2 linked regions of the Coturnix japonica genome follow. The protein of the gene in region 1 purifies or fractionates together with the protein of each later gene. This does not show direct contact. Links are inferred from orthologs where the notes say so. Each region holds a gene or a part of one and is shown on either strand. Other genes may lie near its edges.

The links.
Region 2: the proteins of PDPK1 (region 1) and SDC2 purify together in Homo sapiens (affinity purification with mass spectrometry; 4 studies listed by BioGRID and IntAct, counting the BioPlex papers as one, with this or other methods). This does not show direct contact. The link is inferred for Coturnix japonica from reciprocal best matches to the Homo sapiens genes PDPK1 and SDC2.

What each region holds. Positions count from the first base shown.
Region 1 is NC_029529.1:7,222,203-7,231,631, forward strand, and holds the start of PDPK1 (3-phosphoinositide-dependent protein kinase 1), read left to right. Parts: upstream 1-4,058; 5' UTR 4,059-4,168; coding exon 4,169-4,192; intron 4,193-4,455; exon of another isoform or gene 4,456-4,744; intron 4,745-9,429. Other genes in the region: interleukin-9 receptor-like, read left to right, coding at 1-239. UniProt on the Homo sapiens protein: Serine/threonine kinase which acts as a master kinase, phosphorylating and activating a subgroup of the AGC family of protein kinases.
Region 2 is NC_029517.1:114,977,431-114,986,235, forward strand, and holds part of SDC2 (syndecan-2), read left to right. Parts: intron 1-14; coding exon 15-126; intron 127-6,027; coding exon 6,028-6,161; intron 6,162-6,961; coding exon 6,962-7,097; intron 7,098-8,317; coding exon 8,318-8,481; 3' UTR 8,482-8,805. UniProt on the Homo sapiens protein: Cell surface proteoglycan which regulates dendritic arbor morphogenesis.

The sequences.
Region 1 (9,429 bases):
AAATTAAAGCCAACCTTGAGAGCTCTAGCATGGGAAGGAATTATCCCTCCCACCTACAGCCTGGAAAGAGTGACTGCCTTGTACTTCAGGAATCTTTGGAGATGGCAAGTGTGTCATTCAGCAGTAGTGACTATTGCACCTTGTGTGATAGTGATACCACTGAAGGTTTGATTCCCGCTGAGCTATTGAAGCTGTCTGATGGTAGTGGTCTGCTCAAATGTCAGAATGACCTTCCCTGAGGAATGTTGTCTACACAGATCTCTGTGGTGCCCTCTCATCTCCCAGTATTGTCTTCAAAAATGGCTTAAATGGTGACCATGCAGACAATTACCATCATATAATTAGATCCCTTTTTAGACCAAGATTTTGGTCTGGCTTTATGCAGTGTTTCCAGTTTCAAACAGAATGAGAAGGATGCTTCCTAAAACTGTCAAATCGGCTGTATCTTAAATCTCTCATATGTACACAGCCCTTGCATATGAACGCATCTGCATGGGAAGTGAACCAGTTTCATGAAGTCTTGTTTGCTTTAGGAAGGTATTCCAAACTGGTTTTCCTAGCAAAAGTGTAATGGAAACTATTCTATCCAGATACAAACATAAGGAGCAGTAGGTCAGGCCATGGAAGGGAGAACATAGAACTTAAGATAGAGAAGCAAATGCAAATAGAGAGATTGAATGTGGTGGGAAATGACAGAAAATGAAAAGCCAAGGAAGATGCTGCCTTTGTCCATCAGGCACAAACAGGAGGACTATGGGAAATGAGTATGGAGATGACGATGGGATCATGGTTAAAGGGCTGAAATGATATTGCATCATCAGATGAAACACTTAACAATTTTGGCAGTTTCTGCTTTGATGCAGCTACTTAAAAACAAAACAGACTGCAACAGCAACAAAAGGGGAAGTTCAGAGAGGAACCCAATTTGCTGTTCTTTCACCTTTTTCATTTTATTATTTTTTTAGTCGTGTTTGAGACTTTTATTAGGTTCAAGTTGAGTTTTTTCACAGCTCCTCCCAGAATCTCTGAACTGTTTCAAGTCCAGTTTTTCCAGGAAAGTGTGATATACATCGTGCCAGTGGAAAACAGAGAATTTTTGTTTAGTAAGGAAATGTAACATGGGCTCTGGTCAAGTTTTTCATTTTCTGGGACTACTGAGAGCATGTTACATCTATCACCCACACCAGAACGAAGCCACCAGTCTTTTTTCCTTTCTTCCCTGAGTGTTGAGTTTTGGCAGATTAAACAGTGTGAGAAGGTACTTGGGTGATGTTTGTATGCCACAAAGGAACTGAAAATATTCCATGATAAAGGATATGTTTTAGTTTGTAGTTGTTTGTTTGTTTTTCCCTTACCTGCTAAGATGAATAAAGTAAAAGATCTAACACTGTGATTATTTAGAAGTAAATAAAGAAATTAATTCAAAAGCTGTTTTTTGGAAGTTGGTATTTGAGAGCTTTGGAAACAGCTTTAAGTCCAAAAATAAAAACAACCCCACAGTTATGAAAATATTGACTATACAAATCATTAGTAAAAGTTGACTTGAAAACATCATAGAAAAAGGAAAGAACTAAATGCCATCCTTATTTTACACACCAAACTACTGAGCCAGTGCTGCAGCTACCGCCACCAAAAGAAAAAGTAAGTATCCTTAGTAAAGATATATTTTACAGCTAGTAAAGCCAAGAGGGACTTGCATGGTGAGCTATCCTATGGTGCCTAGCATGTGGCCATGAGCTTGGTTCTGCTGGCTGTCCACCCAACATATCTCTGGTTCACAGTGTCACCTCTGCTTCATTCGTGTTCACAGTGATGAGTGTCAGAAACTGTATCTCCATCAGACATTTTCCTGTGTAGTTATCTGCATACTCATTTCAGGAAAAAGAGATGAGAGAGGTCAGATTGTACATTACTCAACAGTATAGGTATCTAAAAGAGCAACAAGTGAGATTAAGATGTGACCTGTCATGTACTCAGGATGAATTCTCTTCACAGTATGATTTCTGATGCATTAAACAACAATGAAACTGTAGAACACTGGAGTCTGATAGGCTGAAACATGAAAAAATGTTGAAGCTGCAGGGCATAAGATCACTGATCTGCAAACTCTAACTAGAAGGAGCTGTGGAAGCAACCTTTTTTTCCTATGTCAGCCATTAGTCAATGGCCAAATAAAGCCATAAATCTTTTCCTGATTAAGCAGATGAGATGAAAGTAATTCCAGAGGCAAGAGAAACAGTTTGCTCTTTTTATTCTACTTTTGTTAAATCTGATCAATGTGTAAAGAAGAAACAGAGAATGTTCAGCACACCGCAGTCTTACAGTTTGCCCAGAACACTGTCAAGTCTAGATCCACAGCTCTGTCATTTCATCTTCCCTGTATTGCTGTCCTCCTGTGAGTCACAAACCTTGTGCTACAGAAGTCTTCATTATCACAGATCTTTCCAGACCACTGTAGCCCCTCAAGTCTCCAAGAAGGCATAGTCCTTCATAGAGCCACTCACATTTTCACTCATGCACGTATTCTTCCTGCCAATAAAAGCAGCAAGAATTAAAAATAGTCATTTTAGTAGTAATTTAATCTAATCTACAGATCTGATCCTGGCAGAGGCACCAGTGCAGTTCTGAAGAGAGAATCATTAATCAAGTATGGAGATCTAAACGATTGGCTTTAAAGTGAGAATCGCAATATTTGATGTAGTTATGTGCCCTTTGCTCTTGACCAATGCTTTCTTAGCAGCACCCACTCCAACCTGCCATTGCCCTCTGCTGGAAGAGTCCTGTTTTCACAGACTTCCAATGTGTCCAGTAAGATTTTACACTCATTTCTAAAACATTTGTGTTTGTTTTTTTTTTTTCTGATCTACCCTAATCTGCCCAGTGACTCCTTAATTTAGAACCATAGAATAGTTTGGTTGAAAGGGACTTTTAAAGATTGTTTATTTCCAACCTCTTCTTCCATGGCAGGGCACATCTTCTACACAATTAGGTTGGTAAAACTAGATTAGGCCTTTCCTAAGCTCCATCTCAATTTAGAGGTCATGTGGCAGGTAAAGGCGAGCAGTCAGCACCGCTGAGGGAATTATCTATACAGATATATGATTCTTTAAAATTACAAAGATGTTTCCCAAGTGATGCTGTTGAGGTCATATAGTCTCCCAGAGTAGAAATAGGTTTGTAACTTAATTATGCAAAAGCAGAAGATGTTCATATTGAGGAAGGCTGGGCTTTCAGTTTAAAACCATTTCTCTCCTCCTCATAATAAGTTCCCTCCAGGTACTGGGAGGCCACAATGAGATCTCCCTGGAGCCTTCTCTTTTCCCTCAGCTATTCTTTGTATGAGAGGTATGCCAGGCTTCTGGGATTCATTAATACTGCAGAATGCTTTCTGCAGTCGTTTACCACTGGGACGCTGCAGGATTTCTGCCTTGCCCAACCACCCCAGCTTTATTTGAATCTAATTATATATCAACACTGAAGATTCTGATGTGGCTTACTGAACAACGTGGCCCTTCCCTGCACAACCCTTTTGACCATTTCCTTAAAATTCAATTTAAGGAAATAAAATTTCCTTAAATTTCAATAATGTTCTGACGAATTACAGTTGTTGCTATGTGCTGTCACACCACACTCCAACAACAGCCCCATAGACCCTCAGCATTTGTGATGTGGGTCAGTGCTTCGGGCTGGATCTGGCCAACTCCTGTGAGCAAATACACATTGAGACTTGAGAACACGGGTTGGGAAGCCAGATTTTAAAGGGAAATCGCATGTATTGTGTATTCGGGTCCGTGGCACACAGACTGGAAGTTGCCGGGTTGAGGCACCAAGTGCTACCGGCAGAGCAGGCCGCACCCGGCGCCATGACGACACGGACCCAACCGGAAGTGAAGCCGGCAGTATCCCCACACCAACTGCGCATGCTCACACTACCGGTGCGCGGAGGCTGATGGGAGGCGCTCCGTGCGGGTTTGCGAGTGAGTGGCAACTAGGCGGACCAGTGAAATTGAGAATCGGACGGAAGTCCCGCCTACAAGCGGGGGGGGGCATTGTTGTGGGTGACGTCACGGCCGGGGGATGCTGGAGCCCCATTGGCTGTGGCCGCGCTGCCGAGCGCTGGGCTCTTAAAGGGCGACTGGAGCGCGGGCCGCGCCGGCCGGGCGGGTCCATGGCGAGCACCAGCAGCCACCTGGTAAGTGAGGGACGGACGGAGGGAGTGGGTGAGTGCGGGCCGCGGGGCTGCACGGCGCCCGGCTCGGAGTGTTGGCGGCCGCTGCGCGCTGCGGAAGGACTAGGCCCGAGCGCCGGGCCCGGCCCAGCCCGGCCGTGAGGGGGCGGGCCGCCCGCGTCCTACACGCTGCCGGGCGGTGGGATCACGGAGGGCTTTTGGAGCGGCCCTGCTGCTCGCTGTCTGTAAGCAGAGCTGCCGGCACAGCGCCGCACTGCGCGGGACCGGCCTGCGTGCCGCCGCCGCTCCCTGCCTCCATTCCTCGCTTCCCGGAGGTGGGGCGGGCGGTGGTTGCGGTCGTTCCCTTCTCCCCGGCGCTGGTGGGGCCCTGTGAGGCGATGGGCGCCCGAGCTCGGCCCGGCCTTGCGGGGAAGCAGAGCTGGGCACGGGCTGCTCGCGGCCTCTCGCTGAACGCTGAGCTCCGTTCCGGGTACAGGACACTGGCGTGGCTCCGCTGGGCCGCCTCCTCCTTGTGCGGCCTCTGCCCCTGCAACGAGGGAACCGCCTGCGTGCTCGGTAATGCGCTTCTTATGTAGCAAAAACAACCGAACGTAAAACATGTCAGTGTGACCCAGGGTGATGCTGGAACACACTTTCAGGCAGTTGTTTACGTTCGTCTGAGATTGTCAAACTCTTCCATTTTGTGAGCGCTGCTTAATGTGTGGAGTTGAAGCTGATCAGTAGAGGTTAAAAATGGTAAATCTTACTTTGCCTTGTAGATTACATGACATAGTGAATGCGGAAATTCCTTTATAAAAACGGTAGGACTTTTTAACGTGTTTTGTTTTTTCTTAACAGTAACGACCAGCGTTTAGTGATGTCAGAGTAACTAACTGATACCAATGCATCCCTTATATGTATGTGTGGATGCTGCTGTGCTTTCAAGTCAGGTGGTCTTTCAAGTGGTTCACTTCTCATTGCTTCTGAGAGCTGCTGAGCTCTGCTCTGGAGCAGCCTTTTTCATCTGAAATTAGTTGAGGTGGATCTGCACAGTCTGGTGTAGCTGTGTTAATTCTCAAAGTCTTGTTTTGTAGCGTGCTCTACTCTTTGTACGTAGTGATTTATTTTTTTTTAAGGGTGTTACATTTGGTTGTATGTATTGGCTGGAAATGAAAGTTGATATGTGGAACAGCCCAACAGGGGAGGCCTTGGAATACTGCATGGAGGGTTATGAAATGAACTTATGTTCTGTTACCAAAAGAATTAGTTTTGCACTTCTGCCATTTGATATAGCTCCATATGGCTGTTTATTGCTGTTAGAGAAGACTTATGTTTGCATGAATCTGCTTAAACAGGGAGAATGCTTCCCTTTGTGAATCTGTCCTTACTCATTGATCTTCCGTTTGTTTTTTCCCCTCCAAATACTTCTGTTTCTTTTCCTTTTCTGTGTACAGTTCATATCCCTGTAAGGGATGCGTGCCAAGAGAATGAATGAAAAAACTAAATTGACTATTGCTTTTTGTTTAAAATATATATATGTGTGTGTATATGTGTGTGTGTATATATATATGTATATATATTCAGAGTAACTTAATTTCAGTTCCTTCTCTTCCACCTTGTCTAACATCTCTCTGCCCGGATGAGTGTACTGACTGGTTAATGATAAAAAGGAGTGACTGTAGATATTTCTGTTTCTTACATAGGATGTGTTGGTAGCTGTTGGCAATTCAGACATAATCTGAACGTAATAGCAATGGTCAACTAAATCCAGTGTGTGGGTAGGTTTGTTTTAGTTCATTTTTTGTTAAGCCAGACATTCTTTGGGTAATTTGGTCTGTCTTAAAGTGCTAGAAGCAGTATCTGTTTCATAGAGCTGCTGTAACTGTGCAAGTAGGTTGTGCTGAACCTTCTGAAACACGCTGCAACCTTGGGCTCATGGTGCTACTATAAAGCTGATCAGCTGAAAGTGAGCATTGATGGAAGTCTTGGGAAGTGATGCTGACTGCTGAAGTACAGGCAGGAGTTCTGCCACACCAAACCAGGAGTGCTGTCGCTGTTACAGACTGAGAAAGCTCGTACATTTTCAAACAGTAGGAATAAATTTATCTATGAAGATGTGAAATAATTTCGAGATCTGTTTTCCAGCACTGAATTTGTCTTAGTTTTCTTATAGAAAGTCTGTCTGAATTGCTATAAAACTACCATGTTTAACCTCCGAATGACTTTATCTGAGGCCATACTTTTAAATATGGGAAGAATAAAACGCTATTCAGAAGACAGTTAAGAAGACAAAATCCTTCTCTAGGTTCCTCATGGTGGAGCTTTCTAAAGGATTTGTACAAAAGGAATTACTGTGATATTTCTGGGAAAACTTTTTGCATGTTACCAGGTTAGATTATGTACACATGGATTAAAAAAAATGTGTGGGCAGGAGGCGCTGAATTCCTTCCCCTCCCTCCCTTTTTGACACCTTATTTGCAGGTAAGGTTGTGGAAAGTTACCGATGTCTGGGAAAGGACTGATCACAACATGCAGTTACATTGACATTGAAGCTTTTTCTGTGTTAAATAAATAATTATAAATGCTTCGCTTGGCAAATATTCTGTTATTCTTTATAGTAGCAGATTGCGAGGATTAACTTGCTTAGCACATTCTTCTGAAAAGAAAGTATTACATTTGATGTTCAGTTCTTTAGCAATTGTGGGAATTTATTGCAGCTCTTGATTGCGCTGTCCAGCCTTTGTGTGTTCTGTCTACTTATTCCACTTCCCCAGGGCTACTTCTCTGTTCTTCATTCATGACTGCTGTCTCTCCCTCCTAAATCGTAGCACTGCCATCAGGGAACCTTGTGCAGGAAGTTCTTTTGTGTTTATTAGCAACTTTATCCATGGTGCACAACACCCCTAGTATTGGGGTACTCGGTCAGGTCATGCAGAATGTGATCTAGATTTCTTGCTGTTCCAGATGGCTTCTTGTGAACTGGGCTGGATCGGTTTGCATGAAGTTGAATTCTCGGTGGCTTGTTTTCATTTATAGCTATTTGGGCCATAGGCTGACTTCAGGTTCTTAGAGATTTTTGTGGTTTCCTGTTTCTGATCTGTTTTGAGGCTTGGGGGTGCAGGCAGAGGTTTGAGCGGATGGTCTTTGAGTAGTCTCTTCCCCTTAAGAATCTGTGTACCATCTATTTATTGCAAATCCTTTCATTAACTTTAATCCTCACCTGAACTTGGAATTGGAATTTTGTAAATTAGGGGCAGAAAATACCACGGTGTATATAAGGCTGTTATGTTTAGAGAAAGCCATTTGCATGAACTGTAGTGTTTGGGACAGCATTGCTGTATACGTAATAAACTCATTGCTGTGAAAACAGTCTTGTAGATAATATAGCTTTATTCTCTAAATGAAAAATCAAATGAGTCCAACAATGTAGAAGTGTTCCTTGTTCTTCCAGATTCTATTCTATTGACTGTACTTCTGCTGATTCTACGTGAATCCAATTTCCTCTTTATTCACTTATCGATGAAGTGTGATGTAGATCTGCTACAGAAAGTAAAGGTCTGCTGGTATGTGATCAGATGAATTATGAAGGAGGCAAGTGTGAGAGCTGAGCTTTGTGCTTTGAGATGGCTTTCATATGAACACTATGGTATGTCTCCCCAGACTTAAAAATGCTTCTTTGTATACCATGAACTTCCTGAGAATGTGCATCCAGAAAACCAAAGAAAAATCAATTAATTTGATTCTTCACAATTATTCTTCTTGTTTGTTATGGGTATATGACTCCCAGTGTTATCTTCAAGCATGAGGAAGAAACCTGCTGTGAAGGTGGTGGTTGTGTTGTTTTAAGCAATCTAATCATGTCTTAAATTAATGCAAGGCCTGTAAAATGTTGTTCCTCTCATTCTCATCGGTTATTGCAGCATAGTATTATGTGGGATTTAGCCAGGGCTTGATACATTTGTTCTTGAAGTAGCTACTGTATCTTTGGAGAATAACAGGTACTCTCAGCAGTGCCTGTTACTGTATTTTTTCCTTGGGTCTGTTAATACATCATGCAGGCTACATTGTATGAATTTCTGTTCATGGTTCTGTTTCCCACTGTTGTGGAGGTCAGGCCAGTTGAGGTAGAACAGAAGAATTCTCTTTTCTGTGCTTGCCACTTCACTAACGCTTAATCTTGAAATGTATTATCAGGACCCAATTGTTAAAGTTGTTGCTCTTTTCTTTCAACCAGTGCCATTTCTGTTAGTACATCTTGTTAGAATTTTCTTACTGTTTTTTTGGGGGGGAGCTGGTTTTGTGCAGTGCTTCAGTCCATGCTCACCTTCTGCTGTTAGAGAGGTTTCAAGTGACGCTGCATGAAGATGGGCATAACTGTGTGTGGGTAGGTCAGATTTGTTTAATCAGGTGGTCGACATAACAGTCTGGTCAAATGACCAAAAAGAAACAAAAAAGTAGCCCACACTTTATATTACAGTGCTTTTGAAAAGTTGCGTGGCTATTCATAAAAACAGTGTGCTTATAAACTCAGAACTCCTGAGATCAAAAAATTTCACTCCAGATGGGATGACTTGTCCTCAGATCCTTTTTCAGAACTAAGCTGTAGTAAGGTTCCTGTTGTAATTGAAATGGAAACTTTCAGTCTGAGCTTTTAAATGTATTTATCAGTAGCCATTTATGAGTATTCAAAACAAACTCGATCAGAATGTATGGGTTTTGACAGATAGCTTGGCTTTAAGCAGTTCTGTTGGCTACTAGTTTGTTTCTTCAAGGCAGATGGGGCTGATGGACAATTCTTGGGGTTATAAGCTGGATGTCAAGTTTTGTTAATATTTACATGTTGTTTGAACAGTTGCTGATGCCGCTCTGTACAGCATAACACCAAACACTAATCTTCTCTAATAATGGTGTGTGTTTAATGCTTTATTTTATTACTACAAGTAATTAACACTTGGCGTTGGGTTTGTTTTTTGAAGTGATTGTCTTACAATGTTTCTCAAAGTGTTTTTTGTAGAAAAACCGTCATGTTGTCCAGACAAAGTATCTTTAGCATCTTTGTAACCTAGCACAGTTTCTAATGAGTGCCTAATTTGCTAGGCTTTTTAAAAAATGGCTTTGTATAGTACCTAAAGGCAGTTGATGCTGTTTTTGTTTCAAAACAAACGTTTGGTGTGCCTTCCTTATCAGACTTTTTGATGAGGTGCTTTAACTCCATGCTTTGAGCTCGTTTCTATGCAGAGAAATAAGGAATGGCGCTGGGA
Region 2 (8,805 bases), on another chromosome or scaffold:
TATCTGTTTTCCAGAGAGCAGATTTGACCTCTGATAAAGATTTATACCTGGACAACAGCTCTGTTGAAGAGGCATCAGGCGTCTATCCCATCGATGATGATGATTATTCTTCTGGGTCGGGTTCAGGTGAGACAACGTGTCACAATTTGATTTTACAGTGTGTAAGAAGCCACTTGTGGAAAGCTGTGCAGTTTTCCTTTGTGAGCAAGAGATGGTGCTTTCAGTGAGTATGATCAGCACTCTATTTACAGAGCACTGAGCACCCTTGAGGCCTGAGTTTTAAATATTAACCTTCTGCTCTTACTCCTTAGTTGCATCATTTCACTTCTCCCCACTCTGTTTTATTTTCTCTTTGCTCTCTCTTTTTGTAGATCTCTCTGGAGTTTAGAAGTTAGGATTAGAGAAAGCTTTACTTCTCCTTTGGCATGATGCTAATTTAGCAGTCTGTGTGAAATCATAGCAGCGGTAATCTCATTTTCTCTCATATTCTTTCAGGTTCATGTAAACGTAACGTCCATTTATTTTTGTTGTTGTTTTTCTTTTAAATTTAGAAGTCTGGAAACTGCCAAATACATGACAGTTTTCTCTGAGGTAATTACATCCGCATAGAAGCTAAATAAATTCATAAACATAACATACTGAATTCTCAGACTTAAACACTCATTAGATGCGTGTAGCAAGCTCGTCATTTTTCAAGAAACTGACAGGGAAGCCTCATTAATCATTTCTCTTAGAAAGCCCTCATTGTGGAATGTCTTTTAGACTAACTGGGAGACTCCAAGCAGTAAAATCTAAGTGCGGGATTGTGTGCCTGTTCTGAAAGAGGCGTTTCCTTATTGCTGTCAGTATTTGCTGAGCTGTTGTGGAAGACTCCATTATTTACCCAGTGTTACTTCCTTGTTTGTTGTTGCTCGTCTTGTAATCTGTCTTGTGATGTTTATACATACCTCTGTGAATTCTAAAAGGTTGAGCTCTTCTTTTGTAGCAGCTTGTCTTTGTTACTGTTGTAACCCACAGCTTTCTCAGGTAGATTTTTGGTTTGCCTGTTCTTTGGAGGCTCAAAGATATGTTACAATTATGTCATCAGAGGGTTTGTTGTTTTTTTTTCTTTCAGACAAATTCAGGCCTATTGGCCACTGGCATCTGGGTGATAACATGTGGGGCTTTTTTTAAGCCTGTCATGGGATGGATTTGTTGTTCCACTATGATCAGAGGCTAAAACAGAACTACCTGTGCAGACTACTCTGATAGAAAATTTCAGATATAATTTGAGAGGAAAAAAAAAAAAAAAGAAAAGAAAAAAAGAATGTATTCAATGGTTTCTCACAGTTCCAAGGACCATCTAAATAAAATTCTGATCTCTGAGAAAATTGCACTCTCAGTCAGCATCTCGTTTTATTGTGTCTTTGGGTGCTTTTGTAAGCCTCAAAAAAGGAGTTAGGTTGACCGTGAACTGTCGTATGGAGAATGGTCTATTTTCTTTTTTCTTCACCCCTCTGTGGCATTTGAGCAGTTTCTAACGTGGATGATTCAAAACACAGTCCTTCTTTTGAAGATGAGTTATACAAGAACAGGCTTCAGACTTCCTTAACCCATCTCAATGCTTCCAAGTGGAACCCAAAGGACAGAATGTACCACTAGACCTCACCCACAGCAGTATCTTTGTCTTTTGCCTTTTCCTGCGTTGAGCCTTGAGTCATGGATAGAAGACGGAGTGTATAACTCACCAAGAAATGCAAGTACCTCATTCAGCCCTTGGCAATCACCACCTCTTACCTAAGAGAAAGTAAATTAAAAAAAAAAGGAGTCTCATAGACTGGGACTGTTTAGATGCCCCTCTAGATATTTCACATGACAGTACAAGAATCTAATTCTTTTGAACAAAGGAAGAAGTCTTAAGTTCAATACTTTCCTGGGCAATGTACAACCTAGTTTTATTCACTTACAGAAAAGAATAATCTCCAGAGGGAAGCGAATCAGCATCCCCTTTTCTCCTTCTCATCCTCACAGCCTACACGAGGTACAAAGTGTCCTCTGGTTGTAGCAGTGATGAATTTTCCTCATACTGTGTTAAATGTGTCTCTCTCTACTTGATACTCAGTGATGTAATGTTCCTAGCTGCAAGAGACTTCCTACTCGAGTGGTTTTCTTGCTATGTAATTCTACTCTAAGCAAACAGATCCAAGATGACAACATGCTGACTCCTTTCCTTGGTATGAAAATTATTAGCTGCCACCAGGCCTATGGAGATAAACAGAAATTGTCAGCACCACTGTTACTGCCCTTGCAGGTTTGCAGGCAGCATTAACGTGGACAAATGTCAGTGTGAGCATGACACATTTCAAACTGAAAATTGGCTGAGGGCTTTTTCTAAGACCAAAAAAGGTGATGGTTTTCTGCTTTTCTTTTTCCCCCCTTTTTTCCTTCATTTTAGCTTAGTTTCATAGCCTCTTTATTCTTTATGTACATTCGTATTAATTTACCCAACTGTTCCATCATAAAATCATAAAATATCCCACATTGGAAGGGATGCACAGTGATAATCAAGTCCAGTTCCCCACTCTACGCAAGACCACTCCAAATTCCAACCCACTGTCTGAGCTGTGTCCAAACGCTCCCTGAACTCCAGCACTCGGGGCTGTGCCCACTGCCCTGTGCAGCCCATTCCATCCCACCACCCTCTGGTGCAGACCCTGTCCCTCACCCCCAGCCCCTCTCCTGTCTTCACTCCATGCCATTCCCTCGGGCCCTGTCGCTGTCACACAGAGCAGAGCTCAGCGCTGCCCCTCAGCTCCCAGTCAGGAGCTGCAGCCGCCATCAGGCCTCCATCAGCTCCTCTGCTCTGGGCTGCACAAACACAGGGACCACAGCTGCTGCTGTTTCATTCATCTTTCCCTGTAGGCCCTTCACCATCTTTCTTGCTCTCCTTTGGATGCTTTTTAATTAGTTTAAAAGATTTTCTGCTTAGACACAACTTGAAATGTAACCACTTCTGTTTTCAGCTCTGGCATGAAAGGTCTTAACTGAACCCTGGTCTTCTCTCCCTGCCCAGTAATTCTCAGTGCTCCTGCCCCAGGTGACTGTCCCTGACAGCATCCCAGGAGAGTGGCATGCTGTTTCCCAGTGTGTTTATTGTCTCTGGGTGCAAGTGATACTGCAGGTATTCATTTCCCCACTTCCCAAGTTCCCACTTAATGTGCCTTTTGGGTTGGATTGGAGCCAGGGCTTCTTCCATCCCCTTGCTACACCAGCCTTGAACATACTTCGCAACACTGACCGCCTGCTTCTCCAAGACCTTTAGCACAGAAAGCTACTGTGATATATCTTGTTTATGAGTATGCTTTTATTGTGCTGGGCACAACCTTGTACTCCAGTATAGTTAAGACTCTTCCTTTTATTCTTTCAAGTCTGACGCTATTTTATTATTTTCCTTTCCTTCCTCCTATGAGAGTTAACAGAGACAGGATATTTATGCATAACCTCCATTTATTTCATCTGCAGTTCCCTCATAGAATGTTAGTATGGTCATGGTGTGGTCCCTGATTGTACAACACTGTGTTGATTAAGAGTTGGGCTGGAAGTTTTTTGTGTGAGCTGGAGTGAGATAAGCCAGCTGCAAGTGTTTAGGTCAGGTATGTGCCACTCTGTTGATAGAGATGGAAGGTGTGAGATAGATGCTGGGTCTGTGCATACTCACCTTTTGCCAGGCTTGTTTCTGGTGGCAGTACTTCCAGAGGAAGTTGTCCAACAGCAAACAGATGATGCCAAAAGATAGCATGAAATGACTCTGGTAGGAAGAGTTAATCACTGGCTACTTGGCAAATTAAGAGTGCTAACTACCATGGGCTTGTACAGTAACATAAGCTGACACAGTCTTGATTTGCTGGCAAGTTTCCTCAAGCAGCAGGAGTGTGAAGGCGCACCTATCTGTGCTGCAGTTATCTGTGGGGCAGCTAATAATAGGCACATCACTGAGGACTATATAATATATTTCCACACCACAATCTAGTGCTATTGTGAGCACTGTGCAGATAACAGTTGGGAGTCCTGAAGAAATTGCAATGGATAAAAGACATTGTGATGGTAGAGAGATCTCCATTCTTTGCTCTGGACATGGGTATGGATTTAATTATTGTAGAGTTCTTGTGATGCGCTCAGTAAGAAGGCTGTATCCACTTGTAGTGTCTTAAGGCAATTAATGCCCAGAGCCATCTCTAAGCTGACCAGTTCCAGAAACCTAAATCACAACTATTGCCTGAAGCAAAGGTGACATTTAAAGATTTGGAGGAATGGTTTTTATTAAATGAGATTTGCCATTTCACAGAAAGAGGGGAGGAAAAAATGAAGTTCTTATACTCTCAAAGTCTGCTTTATCAGATCTTTAATCTGATCATCAGTTTTAATTTCCTTGACTGTGAAAGTCTTGTGTAATTTGCAGAAACTTTGACAGGTAAAGCAGGCTGAACTATCCATAGAACTCTTTATTTCTCAAAGAAAGCTCTTGAGGCAAAGACAGGAAAATGTTCCTGTTGGGTATCTTTCCTCAGCAGTGTTTTACAGCAGGATGGGTTTTTTTTTTCTTTTGATCTTTGAGTAGTATTTCTGGAAAACAATTGGCTCATGTTGTGAGGTCTTTCTGGAACAGTTGCATTGTAATTTCAGTATCTCTGGATGGTTCTCCAGTATTATTTCTGTGCCGGCAGTTTTCATACACTGCTTTTTTTTTAATTGTTTCAGTTTTACCTTTCTATCACACAGGAGTTGTCATAGCTATTGCCTTGTTAACAGCCTTTCTTTCAAATCCAAATGTATATAATTCTTGATCACGAGTTCAAAGCTTGTTTTTGTGCTTCATCTTTCAGCTTGTTTTCTCTCTCTAGAAAAATAAGATAAAAGCCGGTTTGGAATGACTGAGTCATACTGTTCTGTTGTAAGATATATTCCTATTTGTTAGGGATTACTTTTAAGAACATTTTCTAGATGTATTACCCAATAGTTATTTGGGCAACCGGTGTCTGCAATGAGCAGAACACATATTGAGATTCCCGGGAAGCGGATAGATCTATTATTTTCATCTCTCAGACCTTGCAATAATTTAGTCTATTGTCTGTCTCATCTGCCTCCCAGTATCACTAAAGGATATTTATTAGACGTATCCATTATCTTATTATAAAGGAGCCTTCATACTCCAACAGAGCTTTGAATGTGGAGGAAATGAAACGTAAGGTCTTCTTTAGGGATTTTTTTTGTCCTCTTAGCCTGCATTTAAAAAGAAAAAAGCTTTTGAATTATGCGAGGTTTAAAAACACGTGTATTCCTAGTGACTGAAGTATAAAATAGCAGCATTTCTGTAGATGGCAGCTACTTGTTTTCTTTATAGTTAAGAGTCTATTGGGTTTACTCTAGAGAAGTGATTTTTTTTGTTGTTATTGGAACAGTTTGTCACAGGGAAAATCTGTGCAGTTCACATAGCAAAAGTCAAATCGGCATTGGAGAGGTGTATTGACTGATTTATAACATGTAATTAACTGGCAATCATTGAACTATATGCTAAGAGTTAGTATCAGCCATACAAGTGATAACCACAGCATCAGCCACTTGAAAACAATACTGTGCAGCTACAGATTTCCAAGCCTCTTCTGCAGCTGATCCCAGTGCATCCCACATGCACATGCAGACTTGGATGCACACTCACATCTCCCTTGCAGGCCCAGAAGCATGCAAGCCCCCTCATCTGGGCACACAGGACCACTACCCATATGTCCTTGCTGTGTCTCTAAGGTGCTGCTCCCCGTGGTGGCCATGGGAGAGTTGGAGGTGGCTGCTGGATTACAGGGCCACATCCGACGCAGTTGTACTGGCTTCCACTCCAGAGTCTATTTTACTTCTATTTTAACAGGCATTGTTTTCTGGGCCATTTACCAAGGGTGGGCCATACGAGCACCCTACCCTCAGCATTGTAACAACAAGTGAAACTCTTCCAGACTTATTACAATGTCAATGAAATGTTGTCTGTTTTGCCTTCAGGTGCTGAGGAAGATGAGGACAGCACAGTGACAACAACATCCAGAATAGTTCCAAAGTTACCAACAACTAGTGATGCGTCTAGAGCTGAGACCACCACAGTGAAAATGCAGACCAAGATGCCTGCACAAACACAGGTACGTGGGTAGAGAGCAACACTGTTCCAAATAGTTCTTCTGCACCTCATTGTTGCCTTGATTTTATATATGAATTGCAAAAAGCATTTGGACATTTTTTATTAAATATTACTGCAACAATTTAAATGGATACAGAGCTGTTCAGTTTTCTGTTAGAAAGTCTGTGTATGACATCTTGTGAAAGAAGAGAAACATGTAAAACATGTATTTTTTGTTTAATGAAGAAAACAATTTTTAATAATAAGTTTGAATCTGAGCCATACCCTTCTTTTATGTCTTTCAAAGAGTTATTCAAAAGTCCTCCTTTCTGAAAGGAACATTTTGTTTGGTTTGGCTGTAGTTTGAATACTTTGTAGGTTCCATTTAGCATTTTGGTGTTTTCTGCTGTCACTGCAGGTGATGTTTTGCTCAGTTATCCTCAGCGGTGTTCTGAATATAGCATATTTGATGTGTTAATTGCAGAATTGTTATTCCGGTCAGAGGCTGTAATTCCTATTATACACAGGCAGTGTTTACTAGCTGATTGCTAAATATATTTTGGGGAGCTCTTGAAACTCCGGACAGTGATTTTTCATTCCATCACGATGAGGATTAGTTCCATTTTCAATATCTAGGACAGCTTTCTGTTCTCAAAAAGCATCCCATGTGTTGTGACTGTCATGGGATGCTTTTTGACCACAGAATATTGTGAAGCACGCCTGTGGGGCTGCCACAGTTCTGTGGCTGCCCGTGGCTGGCAGTGACAATGCAGTTCTGTGGTGATCCTGTCTGTAAGGGCTGTTTTTCTTTCTGTGCCACAGTCACCTGAAGAAATTGATAAAGAGGAAAGACCCGAGGTGGATTCCAAGAAAAAGAGCAATGAGCCAGGGGATGACACTGATGTGTTCACTGAAAAGCATTCCGAAAACCTCTTCCAGAGGACAGAAGTTCTGGCAGGTAAGGGTAGTTTGCCAAGGGTTCACCACCTCACCAGAAAAGGAACAAAGAATATAAAAGGCATTCACATCAAATAGCACAAACTCAACGTCTGTGTTTTCTTGTTGGGTTCTTGACACGTTTGGAGGGGAGTAGTCAGTGGTTGATTTGATGAGACTGAGACTGGCAATTTCTTTAATACCAAAAGCTGTTGCTAATTGATTTGACACCCACAAACTGAATACTCCCTACAGAGTAGCTGGAGCTTCCACAGCTCAGAAAAGGAGTTGCAACTTGGATTGATGCTTGTAGTGCAGAAAAGTATTTCACACCCACTCTCCTAGGAGCACAGCGTGGTCTAGTACAGATAGAACAGAGGTGCTCACAGCAGGGATGGGTGGGTGGAGAGGGATGTAAAGGGCCCATTTCTGTGTATGACCCAGGGAGGAAAAGGCTGGCCTCCTTTTATTTTTTCCCCAGTAGCTTTTCTACATGTGATTCATGTGATTTTTTTCTTCTTTTCCTTCTTTCTTTTTTCATGGTGTAAGACCTGTGCTTACTAACATACCTTCCTCCCACCTCCCGGGAGGGGTTGTTGGGAGCCATGGGTGGGAGTGTTAAATCACACAGTTTTGGACTTTATCTCCCCCAGAGCACTGAAACGTGAAACAGCATTTGTATCCACATCAGCAGAAACATTCGGGTTTGCTCTTCAAGTCCAGCTGGAGGTGTTAGTTTCTACACTCTAGCAAGTACATGATGAATGTAGTGTCTCTACTGCAGCTCCATGAAATGTTCTCTCCTATTACTCATCAATAGGGAGTCACTGAGTGAACACATGGAGAAATGGGATAACACATTTTTTAGCTGGTGCAACAGAGTAGTTCTTCTAAGGCTAAAAACATCAACTGCTGGAAAATCAGCTTGAAAAGCTTTTACATTTTAGTATTAAAAGTGAATTACAACTTTATGCTCTGGCAATATTGGCAGTTTTATTAGTCAAGCTTTTGATAATTTATTTAGAACCATGGGTTGCTGGATCACTTGCTTGCAGGTGAAATGCACTCCTAAATGATTCCCTCCATTAGAATAAACAGGGTTTCTCAGAATACAAATCAGGCTGCTCATCCTCAAGACAGTTGCAGAAAATAATGGCAAGCTGGTTGCGCGAGGTGAAAAAGATAGGTGGTTCCAGACCCGTTCTTCTGGCACATTGTGAATTTCTTTTTCTTTGCTTACAGCTGTTATTGCTGGCGGAGTTATTGGTTTTCTGTTTGCAATCTTCCTCATCCTGCTGCTGGTATATCGCATGAGAAAGAAGGATGAAGGCAGTTACGACCTTGGTGAACGTAAACCATCTAGTGCTGCCTATCAGAAGGCACCTACTAAGGAGTTTTATGCATAAAATTCCTACTTAGTGTCTCTATTTATGAGATCACTGAACTTTTTTAAATAAAGCTTTTGCATAGAATAATGAAGATCTTTTTTTTTTTTTTTTTTTTTTTTTTTTTCATTAAAGAGCCATCACGGCACCTTTATGATAAAATCCCATTGTATTTAAAACTTTACACGTATTCCTTTAAAAATGTAAAATTAAAACTTAACACTTGCAGCGTTCTGTGGATAACAGTGGCAAAGCATTTATTTTATAAGAACCATTGGTGTTCAACCGAATCATTTTTAAAACTTGATGCATAAATATAATGAAAACGATTGCTTTATCCTATGA